Diceros bicornis minor: one gene and its partner. The protein of the gene in region 1 interacts with the protein of each later gene in a pairwise test. Links are inferred from orthologs where the notes say so. Each region holds a gene or a part of one and is shown on either strand. Other genes may lie near its edges. The genes, in order: ZHX1 and ZMYND11.

Region 1 (6,067 bases):
TTAAAAGGATTTTAAGTTAGAAAAAAATTAGATGTAAAAGTGAATGTGCTATACTGGCTATTACCATAAATGGTGCAATAGATATTCCCAAACACTTCCCTGAATTTATTGAATATGATATTAGATTAAAAACTAGTTTAGGCACTGAACTTTTAACACTGTTAATATTCAAATAAGTAGAGCCTTTTGAGCCCAAATCCACAATGCTGTAATGTACATAAAAAGGTTATTTCCTCAGCTACATCTGTAATCATTTTAGTAATTTTACTAGTACTTCCATTTAAGTATAAAGGCATAACTTAAAGCAAACTAAGTCCCAAATATCACATTTTTGTGCCCAATGAACATTACAAGAAAGAAAATGTATAATACATCATAACATCACCTTGCAGTTTTAATGTGAAATATAATACAAAAGGGAGAAAATCTTCAAAATGAACTACCTCACCTATGCTATTAAGTTTATTAACAAAATAATTGTAAAACTTTATTCACATTTATTGAAAAGAAGAACTTATAATACAAGTGTCATTCAAGGTGAAATAATTGCTACATCATTCATCAATTGTCCTCCAAATCCAGTGAAATAATAAGCTCGCTATAAGGGAAAGACATCTATCTACTAATGAGTGTTCCCCAGCACAGGCACAGTTATGTTTGCAGCCGTAGCATATTTTCAGACCATCTGGCATCAATGTCACTCTGGTTCACCCAATCTAATCTGTTCAGAACTGAATATAAAACTAGAGCTACACGCACTTTGGAAAAACCAAAGAACAGCACACATGTATAATAATGTTCCAAATGTGCAGCTCTCAACTAGTTTATACTTGAAATGTGTTTTTAAAAACATTTCCATTGAAGACGTTAAAGCTCTTTTAAAAAAACCAGAACGGTTCAAGAAATCTGTATGAATCATAGCTGTCATCAATTACCCAAGTCTTACTTTAATTCTTTTTTTCTCATTTTAATCCTGATCACTAAGGAAAGCATTTGAAAGGTTCTTCTACAAAAAGACATTGATAAATGAAATGCTATCACTTCTATACTGCAAGGACCCATGATTTTACATTTTATTTTGCATAAAATTAGTCTGCTTAGCCGTAAAAGGCTTAGAGAATAAGGAGAGAAAAACTAAGAGGAGAAAATATTCATGAAAGTCTTTTTTTCTTTTACATCCTGTGAGCGCATTATTGTCTTTGGCAGCATTCACATTTCTTTTGCTTAAAATCAAGAGTCAGAATGGCTATTAAGAAATAAAAAATCCATGGCTAGACTAGGGCCAATATTCCTGTTAGAACCAATTCCTGTTCATCCTCACTGTTGGCATAAAAACAAACGACTCTTTCAGGATAATTTTTCAGAAGCAAGGATAATTCATGTAGCACCATATAACACAAGCTAAAGCTTTCAGACAAAGACTGAGAAACAATGACCAATACCAACAAATCTGAAGGTGCACTTCTGTAGGTACGGACAAACATACACTTCAACCCAACAAACAGTCACTATTCTTGGGAGAAAGCTGGCTTCTTCCTCCCTGAGAACCACTCTATTTCCCAATTCTGTGATTTTCCCTTTTCTTCTATCCTCTTAACCTCCAAGAGAATTGCTTCTTCTTTTCAAATTACATGGAATCCCAACCTAATCACATTACAAATCCTCTATCAGTTAGCCTTTCCTTACAGCACCCAACGACACACACACACACACACACACCACCACCACCACCACCACCCCCACCACCCCCACCACCCCCCCCCCACCCCCACCACCCCCCACCCCCCCCACCCCCACCACCACCACCACCACCCCGCAAAGATTAGCCTCTTCTCACGTGTTTCTTTAGAGCTGGAGTGAAATGACAGAAAAGCGCTGTGGAATTCCCGCTCTGCCCAACCTCTGCCCCATATTCCTCCTCTATCCATCCCCTTTCCTGCTTCCTAATTCTCCTACCCCGAGTCTCTCAGTGAAGCCTGAGCACAGCTTGATCCTTCTCTAACCTAAGCTAAGGATATCAAATAGAAGCTTTTCCTTCTCCGGGGTTTTGCTCTTTCCTTACTGTTACCAAAGAGGGGAGACGTGCTGAAACAAAGAATTTCAAGCCCCTTTACCCAGAACTTCGGTGTAAATTACAGGCAAAGGGCATCCGCCAGGGCTCCTCTTTCCTGCCATGAGAGCCCTGTCCTCTCACATCTCCTTCCCAGCCCCCCATTCCCCGCAAGGATTAGGAGACTGTTCCCTTTAGGCCCTCAGGCTTGAAGGAGTCCCTGGTCAGCCTCCCTGCGTCCTGAAAGGGCCGGATAACATTTCCATTCTCTTTAACTTCTCCCTAAGTCCCAGGGCTTCCTCAAAACGTAATATGGTTCTTAAGGACTCAACTCGGAGTCTTGCCCCAAAGTGGGGGCATGGCCCGGTCCTGAAGTGTGTGCCCAGGCTTCCACGAAGTGGGGTACAGCCTCTCCCCGAAGGGTTTCCCGGGGCTCCAACCACAACGCCAGCGCGCCCAGCTCCAGCAAGAGAATCTCTCCTTACTTTCAGGGAGGCAGTCCCCAGGCGGCCACACGCCCCCGCAGGGCAGGGCTCGCTACCTCCCCTTGGACCCTCAGCACTGCTGGAGTCCTCCATCCCTAAGGCGTCCTCCCCCAGGAGACCAGTCTGCACTCCCCCAACAGTCCCAAGTCGCTCAGTCCTCTCAGAGACAGGAGAGCTGAAATCTCCTTTACACAGCCCACCCCCAGCTCCTTCCACGGCCGCAGAGACCCCGAAAGCGCGAAGGAGGCGCAGGGTCGTCCACCGGCGGCGATCCCTGGCCCAGGCAGGCCCGGTCCCTCCCGCTCGGACGGCCCGCGCCGGTCCGCCCCGCCACCCGCCGCGGCGAGCGCGCCCAGCCCCCGGAGTCTCTGCCCCGGCGCTGCCCTCGCCGTCCGGCCCGCGCCGCCCTCCTTCCCGGCCCGCCGCGCCGGCCGTGGGCTCTGCGCTGCCCGCTCCCACCCGCAGCCCCGGGGCGCCCCGGCCAGCTCGTCGCGGGGCCGACTCGCGCCGCTACCTGCAGGGGCCGCCGCGCCTCTCAGCGCCCCACCGCCGCCATCTTGCATTTCAAACCGGCTGCACTTTTCAGGGAGTCAACTCTGACCTGTGAACCCTACACCCGGAACCGCTCAGCGGGCCGGGACCCGGCCTCGGCCGCTCGGCGGGCCCCGGGGAGCTTGAAGGGTCGGGGGTGGGGGTGCGAGGCGAGGCGCGCGCCCCAGCGGCCGACCGGGGGTGGGGGGGGGAGGGAAGAGCCGGCCGAGGCGGGGCCCTCCCGCGCGCGCGCCCTCCGCGCGCCCCCACCCCTCTCCGCGCCGGGCTCTGCGCTCCGGGACCCTACTGCTCCCCTAGGGTTCGACCCGGGCCTCTACCCGTTGGATTGGCGCAAGGAGAGAGGGAGGCAGCCGCCCCGCCCCTCTGTCAACAGAAGCCCCGCCCCAGTATGCGGAAGCCCCGCCCTCTGTCAATAGAAGCCCCGCCTTCTCCAGGTCTCGGAGCGGCGCCGCCCCTTGCCGGCGATAGCTCCGCCCGCTAGCAATAGAAGCCTGGTCGTCACTCAGGTCAATCCAGAGGGCAGCCCCGCCTTCTCCCAGCTGTGGCCCCGCCCTCTGGGCGCTCCGCCGTCCCAATGTTGTAGCCGGATGGTGAGAAACGCCTCTCGTCATCCTAAGCCCCATCTCCTGGCGGCAGTACTACCTAAGCCCCGCCTCCTTTCCGCGGAGGCCCCGCCCACTGTCAATGGAAGCCCCGCCTTCCCGAGACCGGTCTCGATTCTAGCTCGAAGCCCCACCTTCTGTCAATCGCCGGCCCGCCTCTTCTTGCCTTCGGTCCCGATTCCACAAGCCGCAGCTCCACCGGCTGGCACTAGAAGTTCAACCTCGCTTCGAACCACCGTGCTAGACAGAGCCGCCCTCTGCTCCCTCTGCTCTCTGAAAATCCTCCTTTGCCTGGTCACGAGTCACTTTTCTGGAGGGCTTTCTTTTCCAGCCGTGGTCCTCAAATCCGGACAGCTTCACTGTGAACCAGCTTCGCAGAGACGGCCAGCTATGGACCCAGGCTTCGGGGAAGACAGGAAGGCGTCACCGCCACTCCCCACCTCCCCTTACCTCCACCCCCTACATCATTTTTTAAATGAAGAAAAGTACACACCCAAGCCGAGAGGAACGAGTCACCATCCGAACTGCTCTGCACAGCAGGGCAGTGCAGTCAGGGGCCTGGGCGTGCGTGCCCCACTCACTCACCCTCTGCGCTTTGACAGCCGTGCCCCACCGAGCCACATCAACCCTAAAATACGCAGTTGCTTGTGGCGAGAACCTGATTGTTGAAATCAAAGTACACCAGCTTCTTTTTATTTGTATGTTTCGTCTTAGGATCCCAGAACTTGTGGAAGCAGAATCAAGCAACGCTTAATGATCTTATAAACAGAGGTGCTCAATCCTGCCATACTCAACAGTCTGTACTTACAACAAAAATGTAGTACTACTTTACTCTCCTGGAATCAAATTCATAGATAACTATCTACAAAACAATTGCAAGAAACCAATGTAAATGTGTCAATAATATAAACGTGAAAAAAGGGAAAGTAGTTTATTCTAAAAGACTATACTAATATCAGTAAAAATAATGTTTTTCACTGTATAAATACTCTAGTACCAATATGAGAACAATACAAGACAAAAACTGCCCCCACAAAATTTCAATATGCCCCCTAGGGGGCAGTACTGTGCCCACTGAGAACCTCGGTTTAGGACTTGAAAGGAAATGCTTCAGATACAGAAATTCATTCTTTCGTTCATGCATTTAGCAACTAGGTTTTTGAGCACCAGCGTATATCAGGCACTGTAGGAGATGCAAAGCTGAGTCAGGCAATATTTCTGTCTTCAAGGAGATTATAGTCTAGTAACCGAGCAAAAAACATGAGCATAAAAACGTCAAGCAAGACAAGAGGTGAGAAGAGATCAAGGAGATATACATAGAGACCCTTTTAAAGGCATGGATTAATGAATATAAATCTCACCTTCCCTCTGCCTCTCTTCCTCTGTCTCCCTCTCCCTTCCTCTCTCCCTCCCTCCCTTCCTTTTTCCCTTCCTTCCTCTTCTCCCACCCCTCCTCCCCCTCCTCCTCCTCTTCTTCTTTAGCACCAGTTTATAGAGTCACCTCCTTCTCTCTTGAAGCTGTCTGCCTGGTTCACTGCCCAATGCCAGTAGCCCAGAGTCTTCCCAATTTAGGGCCATGCCCGCAGGGCAGTTCTGTCCAGGAAAACAATTTCAATAGCACAGTGCTGAGAACCAGTGTCCTTGGCTGAATTGCTGCCAATTATTTGGTATCCTTGTACAAAGCAAGACTGTTATCACACTCAAAAAAGCTGGTTGCAGACCTAAGCAATATGAATATATGTTTAGCATAGCAGATTGCGCCAGCCCACATAAATCTGTTTAGAGATCATGCTCACAGAGTAACTTGTTTTTATTAAAATAAACTCATTTGTAAAAATTGTAAATATGACTGATTTCAACAGCTGTGTGGCTCCAGAAGTAAGTTTTTACCCATGGATTGGCTCAATTAGAAGAATCTAGATTTTTTTATGCATATGTTTTGCCGCTTGTCATACACAGTCTGGTATGGCAAAATTTCAGTACTGTTAGAGATGAGAAGTTGTCCAGCAGGTTTTAAAAAGCACAGCACTCTTGCTATTTAGAGCTTCTTCCACCTTTGGAACAGTGAAAAAAAATATATTTGTAGGGAATGAAGAGCTTTGAATCAAAAGTTCTAAGCGCTGGTGTCATCTGAAGAGGAATAGGCTTCCAACAGAACTTTCTGTAGTAGTTTCCTTCTGTTATTATTTTTCCTTTTTCTACTCTTTGTGACAAAGTTTTCTAAAAAACATGATACCGTGAAACAGATCAGCTGAAAAGACATCAAACTAAGACACTTTAAACTTTTAACTATAGTGAGGTGAATCTGAGAATTTTGCCCTAGTGAAACACTCCCACAATTCTAATGGCTACTTCAGAAGGTTAACAAGAACGTTCCT
Region 2 (6,067 bases), on another chromosome or scaffold:
TAGCAGCTTATTACTGCTACATATTAGCAAACCAGAAACACCCTGAGAGGAGAATTTAAGAGAAGATCCCTACTCTATACAGCTGGGAAGCCAGGACTAAGAAATCCGAATTGGTCCTCATTATGTGAAGAAAGTGGGAGAGAGCATATTAGAAAAAACTCCTTATAAGGCGTAAAAGTTGTAACCCTAATGAACATATTTTAATGTAAGTCTATATTTGGTTTTGACATATAGGATTCATAAAATTTTATATAGTCAAATTTATCACTCTTTTCTTTTGTGATAAAAATCATTGCTATAGAGCTTAGGATATTCTTCTCCACTCTCAATCTTACTAATATTCACCTATATTTTATTCTACCTTTTGAAAAATGATTTTCGGTTTTTACAATTATAGTATTTAAGTCATTTGAATTATTTTTAAGTGTGAAGTGTACAGTAAGAATATAATTTGATTTATTTTTTAAATAGACAAATTTTCCAGATCAATTTGTTGAATAATCCATGCTTCTCTATTTACATAACATTTCTTAAATCAGAATCTGGAAAAAGTGATATGCTGATCAAGTCAGGTATTAGCTAAGTGTGGAGAGTGCTGGTTGGGGTTACACAAGAACAGGAATGTTGTGTGGGGTCCTTCCTTGGGTGGTGCAAAGTCTCTGAAACGTGTAAGTTGATGCAAACCATTCCTCACTGCCCACCACTCTTCCTTTTCTTCTCTTATCCCTCACACGTTGGCCCCTTGCCTCTTCTTGGCAATCTGACAGATAACTTCATGGTGTAACTTAAGTTGTACAGAAGTAACTATTTTGGTCTTCTCCGCCTCCCCCCAACTCCCAACCCCAAACCTTTGACCTCCAGACCACCTCCTGTCCCCCATATTCACTCAGATGAGGGAAAAATGAGGTAAATAAAACTGTTCTGAAGGGAAAATAGAGCCAAGGGTTAAATTCTAGGCAACACCAATAGATAAGCTATCTAACTTACCTTAGATAGAATTAGAGACAGTATCTGGAGACAGTACAAAAATTGATGCCTAAGAAATTTAATTGGAGAAAAATGTAGAGTTATGCAGTCACTTCTTTCCTAAAAAGTAAGCTTCGTTTTATACATACATGATGTTGTCTGACTTGAGTGGTCTTCATGAACTATATAGAACCATGTAGTCCTCTATTTTATAGATGACTGAAAAAGAAAAAAAAAGGTGATTTACTTAAAGCTATTGTTAGAATTCCTGGTCCAGCATTCAAACCAGATATGACTTGATTTTTTCTGACATCCTTTAACCCCTCTGCTGGATTTTAATGGCATATGTTCATCTCCAAAATTAAAATGAGTTAAAATTATTTCATGATGTCCCTTGAGATAAGCAAAAACTCTCAGGGCTATAAATGGCTGAAAGATTATGTTTCTTTGACTCATGTACATCATAGAACACATATTCAAGTACCACCCATTTCTAAATTCTAACTTAGTCTTAGAGAAGATTGATGAATTGGATTAGAATCCCAAAATTTCTTGGACAGATTCTTTCCAATGATTTTCAGGTACATATGTCCAATGAGAATCAGAGTAAGAAATTTTGGCTGATAGGCCCTTCCTTCCAAACTCCTAGTAGAGAAAGGTCATTAGGGAAAATATGTGAAATCCATAAAAGTATGCTTATCTCTGAGACTTCTCTAGTTAGATCTAGCATCAAACTAAAAAAGATAATCTACTTTTCCTTACACAAATTTGTAGTGTTTTCGCTAAATTTATAATGGGTGGTCCCGTCCTTTTCGAAGTCCTATTTGTGTACGTATGGATGAGGAATTTAGCATACCCCTGCAATTCCTTTTGATGACAGAATTAAAAAGATATTAAACCACTTTACCAATTTTGTTAATTCAAAAACTAATGCTTCTCAAAGACTTCGCATTCCCGGACGGTGCACATTACAGAACAGGTACGTCCCACGTGAAGACAGCCGTCGGCCGGGCACTGCCCTCAGCCCCGCGGTCCGAGCCTAACAATGCTGCGAGCGCCGGGACCTTTGTGCGCTCGGCTCTTGGCTCCCGCGTGCCGGCAGTACGTCGCTTTCACGTGTGTACTGCCATGAATGCCTGTGTGGATATGTAGGAATATGCTGAAACAAATCTGGGGAGGCACGGAGGACAGGACCGAGGGAAGGTGGGTGTGGGCGTGCACGGCGCCGGCCCGGCCGGGAGGGAGCCCGCAGCCCGCGGCCCGGCGGGCCCGCGCCCGCGCCCGAGCCCCGAGCCTTCGGCGCGGCCGGCCGGGCCGCACAGTACACTCCGGGGGCGGGCGGAGGTGGAGGAGGCCGGGCCGGGCGAGCGGCCGCCCCGCGCAGACACCGCCATGTGAGCGGGCCGCGGCCTCGCAGGACGCAAACTTTCCCGGCGGCGGCGGCGCCCCAACTTCCCGCCCCCGCCCGGGCCCGCCGCTCGGCGCGGAGACACCGTAAGTGCGGGCGGCGGCGGGGCCTCCTGCGGCCGCCGCGCCTTCCCTAGTCCGGGCGCTCGCGTGTGATGTGGTGGAGGGTTGTAAACATGGCGCCCCGGCCCCGCCGGGCCGGGCGGAGGGCGGCGGGGAGCCGGCGGGGCGACGACGGAGAGCCGGGGAGGGCGGCGGGGAGATGAGGAGGCCGGGCCCGCGGAGCCGGGGAGGAAGGCGGGGAGATGAGGAGGCCGGGGCCGCGGAGCCGGGCGGAGGGCGGCGGGGAGCCGGCGGGGCGACGACGGAGAGACGGGGAGGGCGGCGGGGAGATGAGGAGGCCGGGCCCGCGGAGCCGGGGAGGAAGGCGGGGAGAGCGAGCCCGCAGATCCGGAGGCGGGGAGGCCGGGAGACGGGGAGCCCCCCCGCGCCCCGCCGGCCCAGGCCCGGGAGGAGGCGGCGGCGGCGGCGAGGAGGAGGCGGCGCGGAGGGGGAGGGCCGGGCGCGGCGGCGGCGGCGGCGAGGACCGGAGCATAATGGTGGGCAGAAGCTCGGCGGGGGCGCGGGCGGGGGCGTCTGTGGCGGGGACGCCGCCGCTTTGTGGAACCCGGGCCCGGCTGCAGCCTCTCGGGCCGGCGGCACGGGTGTGACCGCCGCTCGCCCTCCCGCGAACGGCCCGAGTTGCCCGCGGAGCTTTGTGAGGGGCGGCCGGGGCCTGCGGGGCGGCGGGGCCTGCGGAGGTCCGCCCGCGCCCCCTCGCCTTCTGCGGGCCCGGGAGGGGGAGGCCCCGGAGGAGGAGGACCGCGCGGGGCCTGCTCGGGCCGGGAAGCCAGGGAGTCGCGTGAGCGCCGCCCGCCGGCACGGCCGTCCCCGCACGGCCAGGCCTCGGGGTCCGCGGCCGCGGGTCGGGGTCCGGCGGAACGCGGCCCCGTGAGTGTGGGGAGGGCGGGAGGGAGCTTTCGCGGCTCGTTGTTTGGGAGCGGTGGCCGCAGCTGGGCAGGGCGGTCCCCCAGGACCAGGCGCGGCTCGGTCCGCGTCCCCCGCGGCTGGAACCGGCGGCAGCGAGGCCTCCACCTCCTCAACAGGTCCTCCCGGGCCCCTGGGACCGCCTGCGGGGTCCGCCCTCCTCCCACCCGGCGTCCCGTCCGCAGAGGAGCTGCTCTGCGGGGCCCAGCAGGCCGGCTTGGGATGCGGGGCTCCTGGGGGGGCCCGGGGACCCCAGCTTCCACGTAGACTGTCCTTCACGTCTCTCTGGGTCAGCTGTGGAGGCGCTTACGGTGTGGGCCTGGTGCTGTGTGTCCGTGGTGCCCAGTGTGCGCCTGGTGCTCGGTGTATCTACGGTGTGTCCATGGGGCCCGGTGTTATATACGGCGTGCTCATGATGCTTGGTGTTACATATGGTGTGCCTGGTGTGATATATGGTGTTTGCGTGGTGTCCGGTGTGCACGTGGCACCTGGTGTTACCTACCGTGTGTGCATGGTACCTGGTTGTCCGCGGTGCCTGGTGTGCGCACGGTGTCGGTTGTCCGTGGTGCTGGTGTTAAATACGGTGTGTACATGGTGCCCGGTGTGCGCCTGGTGCCCAGTGTTTATATACGGTGTGCTGTTGATACCCGGTGTTATATGTGGTGAGCCCAGTGTTATATATAGTGTTCGCGTAGTGCCTGGTGTGCACGTGGCACCCGGTGTTACGTACGGTGTCTGCATGGTAGCCGGTGTGGGCAAGTGATACCCCGTGTTACTTAAAGTGTGTGCATGGTGCCCCGTGTGCACATATACGGTATATACTTAGTACCTGTGAGCTCAAAGCAGGTGGCCAGGTAGCCTCTTTAGGGAAGGGTGCCGGAAGGTTGGAGGAGCCCGCTGGGGTCAGATTTTTAGGGACCCACTGGGCTTGCTGAGGTTTAGGTCTGCGGTCCTCCGGTCTGCCTCACCTGGGTGTTCTGCATCCTACAGTAAACCGTGTCCTATGGAGGCAAGAGCCTGCTTAAAAATAATTTAATGTTTGTTGAAAGGCAGAAATTGAAACGTTTACTTGTTTTCTTTTAAACTGAGACATGTAATAGTTGTAGCTTAGTAATTATGGGATGCATAACCTTTTCAGGTTTTCGGGTCATTGATTCTAATGAATGGTTGAAAGTTGTTGGTGCGATAGTCTTGATTGTACTTTAAAAGTTTGAGTGCTTTCTGGTAAGCAAGGTCACCTTCGTGGTTTTTCTGAATTCTTATTGTACAAGCAAGAGATAAAATATGAATTTTGTACAGTTGTGTTATCGGCTAACTGGTGCTGGTTACGGTCATTATTTTGGTGGACTCTTCTTTATAAAATGGCCAGGCTAGAGAATCAAAGATCAGAAGATATGGGATGTGATTAGGACAGAATCAATAAAATATTTTTCCTGCTTAACTCTATCTGTGGTTAACAGAGGATTTCTATCTTTTTTACGTGGTAATTTTTTCATAGATGTTCATATGAAAACTGAATCTCCCTTTTACATTCTGTCAATTGGGCAGTTTATTTTACAGTTACCTATGGCAAGGTGTTTAAGTAAACATACATGTAAGTGCTGGCAGCTTTACGAAGAAAGGTCAATTAAAATGTTAAAATTTGGCTCCTTAGTTCATACTGAATATTCCTAGGATATCATTATGTTGGCACTTTGAGTGGATGTCATCTTGCGTGTTTCTGAGAATTGACATGTGTTTGTTTGAACTCATACCCTTTTGTAACCCCTTTTCATTTAAAGGGTGTTCAGATAGTCTATGATTGAGACATTCATACCCTTTGGCATACCTTAATTGAAGCTAATTAAGAATTTTAACATTTTAATACATGTATCAAATGCTGTCCTAATATTGTTTAAAGCCCTAAACCTCTGGTGTCATTTTCTTTACTTGCCTTTACCATCCTTCGGTTGAATTCTACATGGAATATATCATTTAAACAAAGAGGATGTATCTTGAAAAAAAAATTAAGGAGAAAATGGACAGTCAGACTTAGTCTTATGATAGTTAAAAGCTTTTCACTGTTTGAAAACTTTAACTTGGACTTGACATTGCATTTTTTGCCCAAAGGGTAATTAGATTTTTTGTTCTTAGAGAGGTCCATGGCAAAATGACTTTGCGGCCAGATGGCTTGGGTCTGAATCCCACCTCTGTCATTTACTAGCAGAATGACCTCAGGCAAATTACTTAAACTTGTCATGCCTGGTCTCAGTTTCCCCATATGAAAAATAAGGATGATAGTAATTGTACCTATCTCACAGAATTATTGACTCATAAACCACTATTAGACTAATTCAATTCAGTTGAGTCAAATTCAATTCAGGTTAATAATTAAACTAGTATGGAAAGGGGTGAAGCTCTGAAATTACGGTTTGGCATGCTCACATATGCCTTGTCTTACTAAGTTGTGTTTGACTGTCGTAGCTACCTCTGAATCTCTGGATTTTCACTTTAGTTATCTCAGAAGGTTGGAAAATAAGCATTTGTTATATTCCTCAGGGCTCATTTACTTGAAGCAATTTAAAGGACCTTTCTATCATTACTTTTTTTGTTTTTTTACTTTATTCATTGTGGTAAAATATATATAACAAAATTTACTATCTTAACCATTTTTAAGTGTACAGTACAG

The links.
Region 2: the proteins of ZHX1 (region 1) and ZMYND11 interact in a two-hybrid assay, tested with the Homo sapiens proteins (2 studies listed by BioGRID and IntAct). The link is inferred for Diceros bicornis minor from reciprocal best matches to the Homo sapiens genes ZHX1 and ZMYND11.

Annotation. Positions count from the first base shown.
Region 1 is NC_080760.1:38,902,621-38,908,687, forward strand, and holds the start of ZHX1 (zinc fingers and homeoboxes protein 1), read right to left. Parts: upstream 3,269-6,067; 5' UTR 3,137-3,268; exon of another isoform or gene 3,050-3,136; intron 1-3,049. UniProt on the Homo sapiens protein: Acts as a transcriptional repressor. Increases DNMT3B-mediated repressive transcriptional activity when DNMT3B is tethered to DNA. May link molecule between DNMT3B and other co-repressor proteins.
Region 2 is NC_080775.1:72,688-78,754, forward strand, and holds the start of ZMYND11 (zinc finger MYND domain-containing protein 11), read left to right. Parts: upstream 1-2,015; 5' UTR 2,016-2,169; intron 2,170-2,336; exon of another isoform or gene 2,337-2,460; intron 2,461-2,953; exon of another isoform or gene 2,954-2,972; intron 2,973-6,067. UniProt on the Homo sapiens protein: Chromatin reader that specifically recognizes and binds histone H3.3 trimethylated at 'Lys-36' (H3.3K36me3) and regulates RNA polymerase II elongation. Does not bind other histone H3 subtypes (H3.1 or H3.2).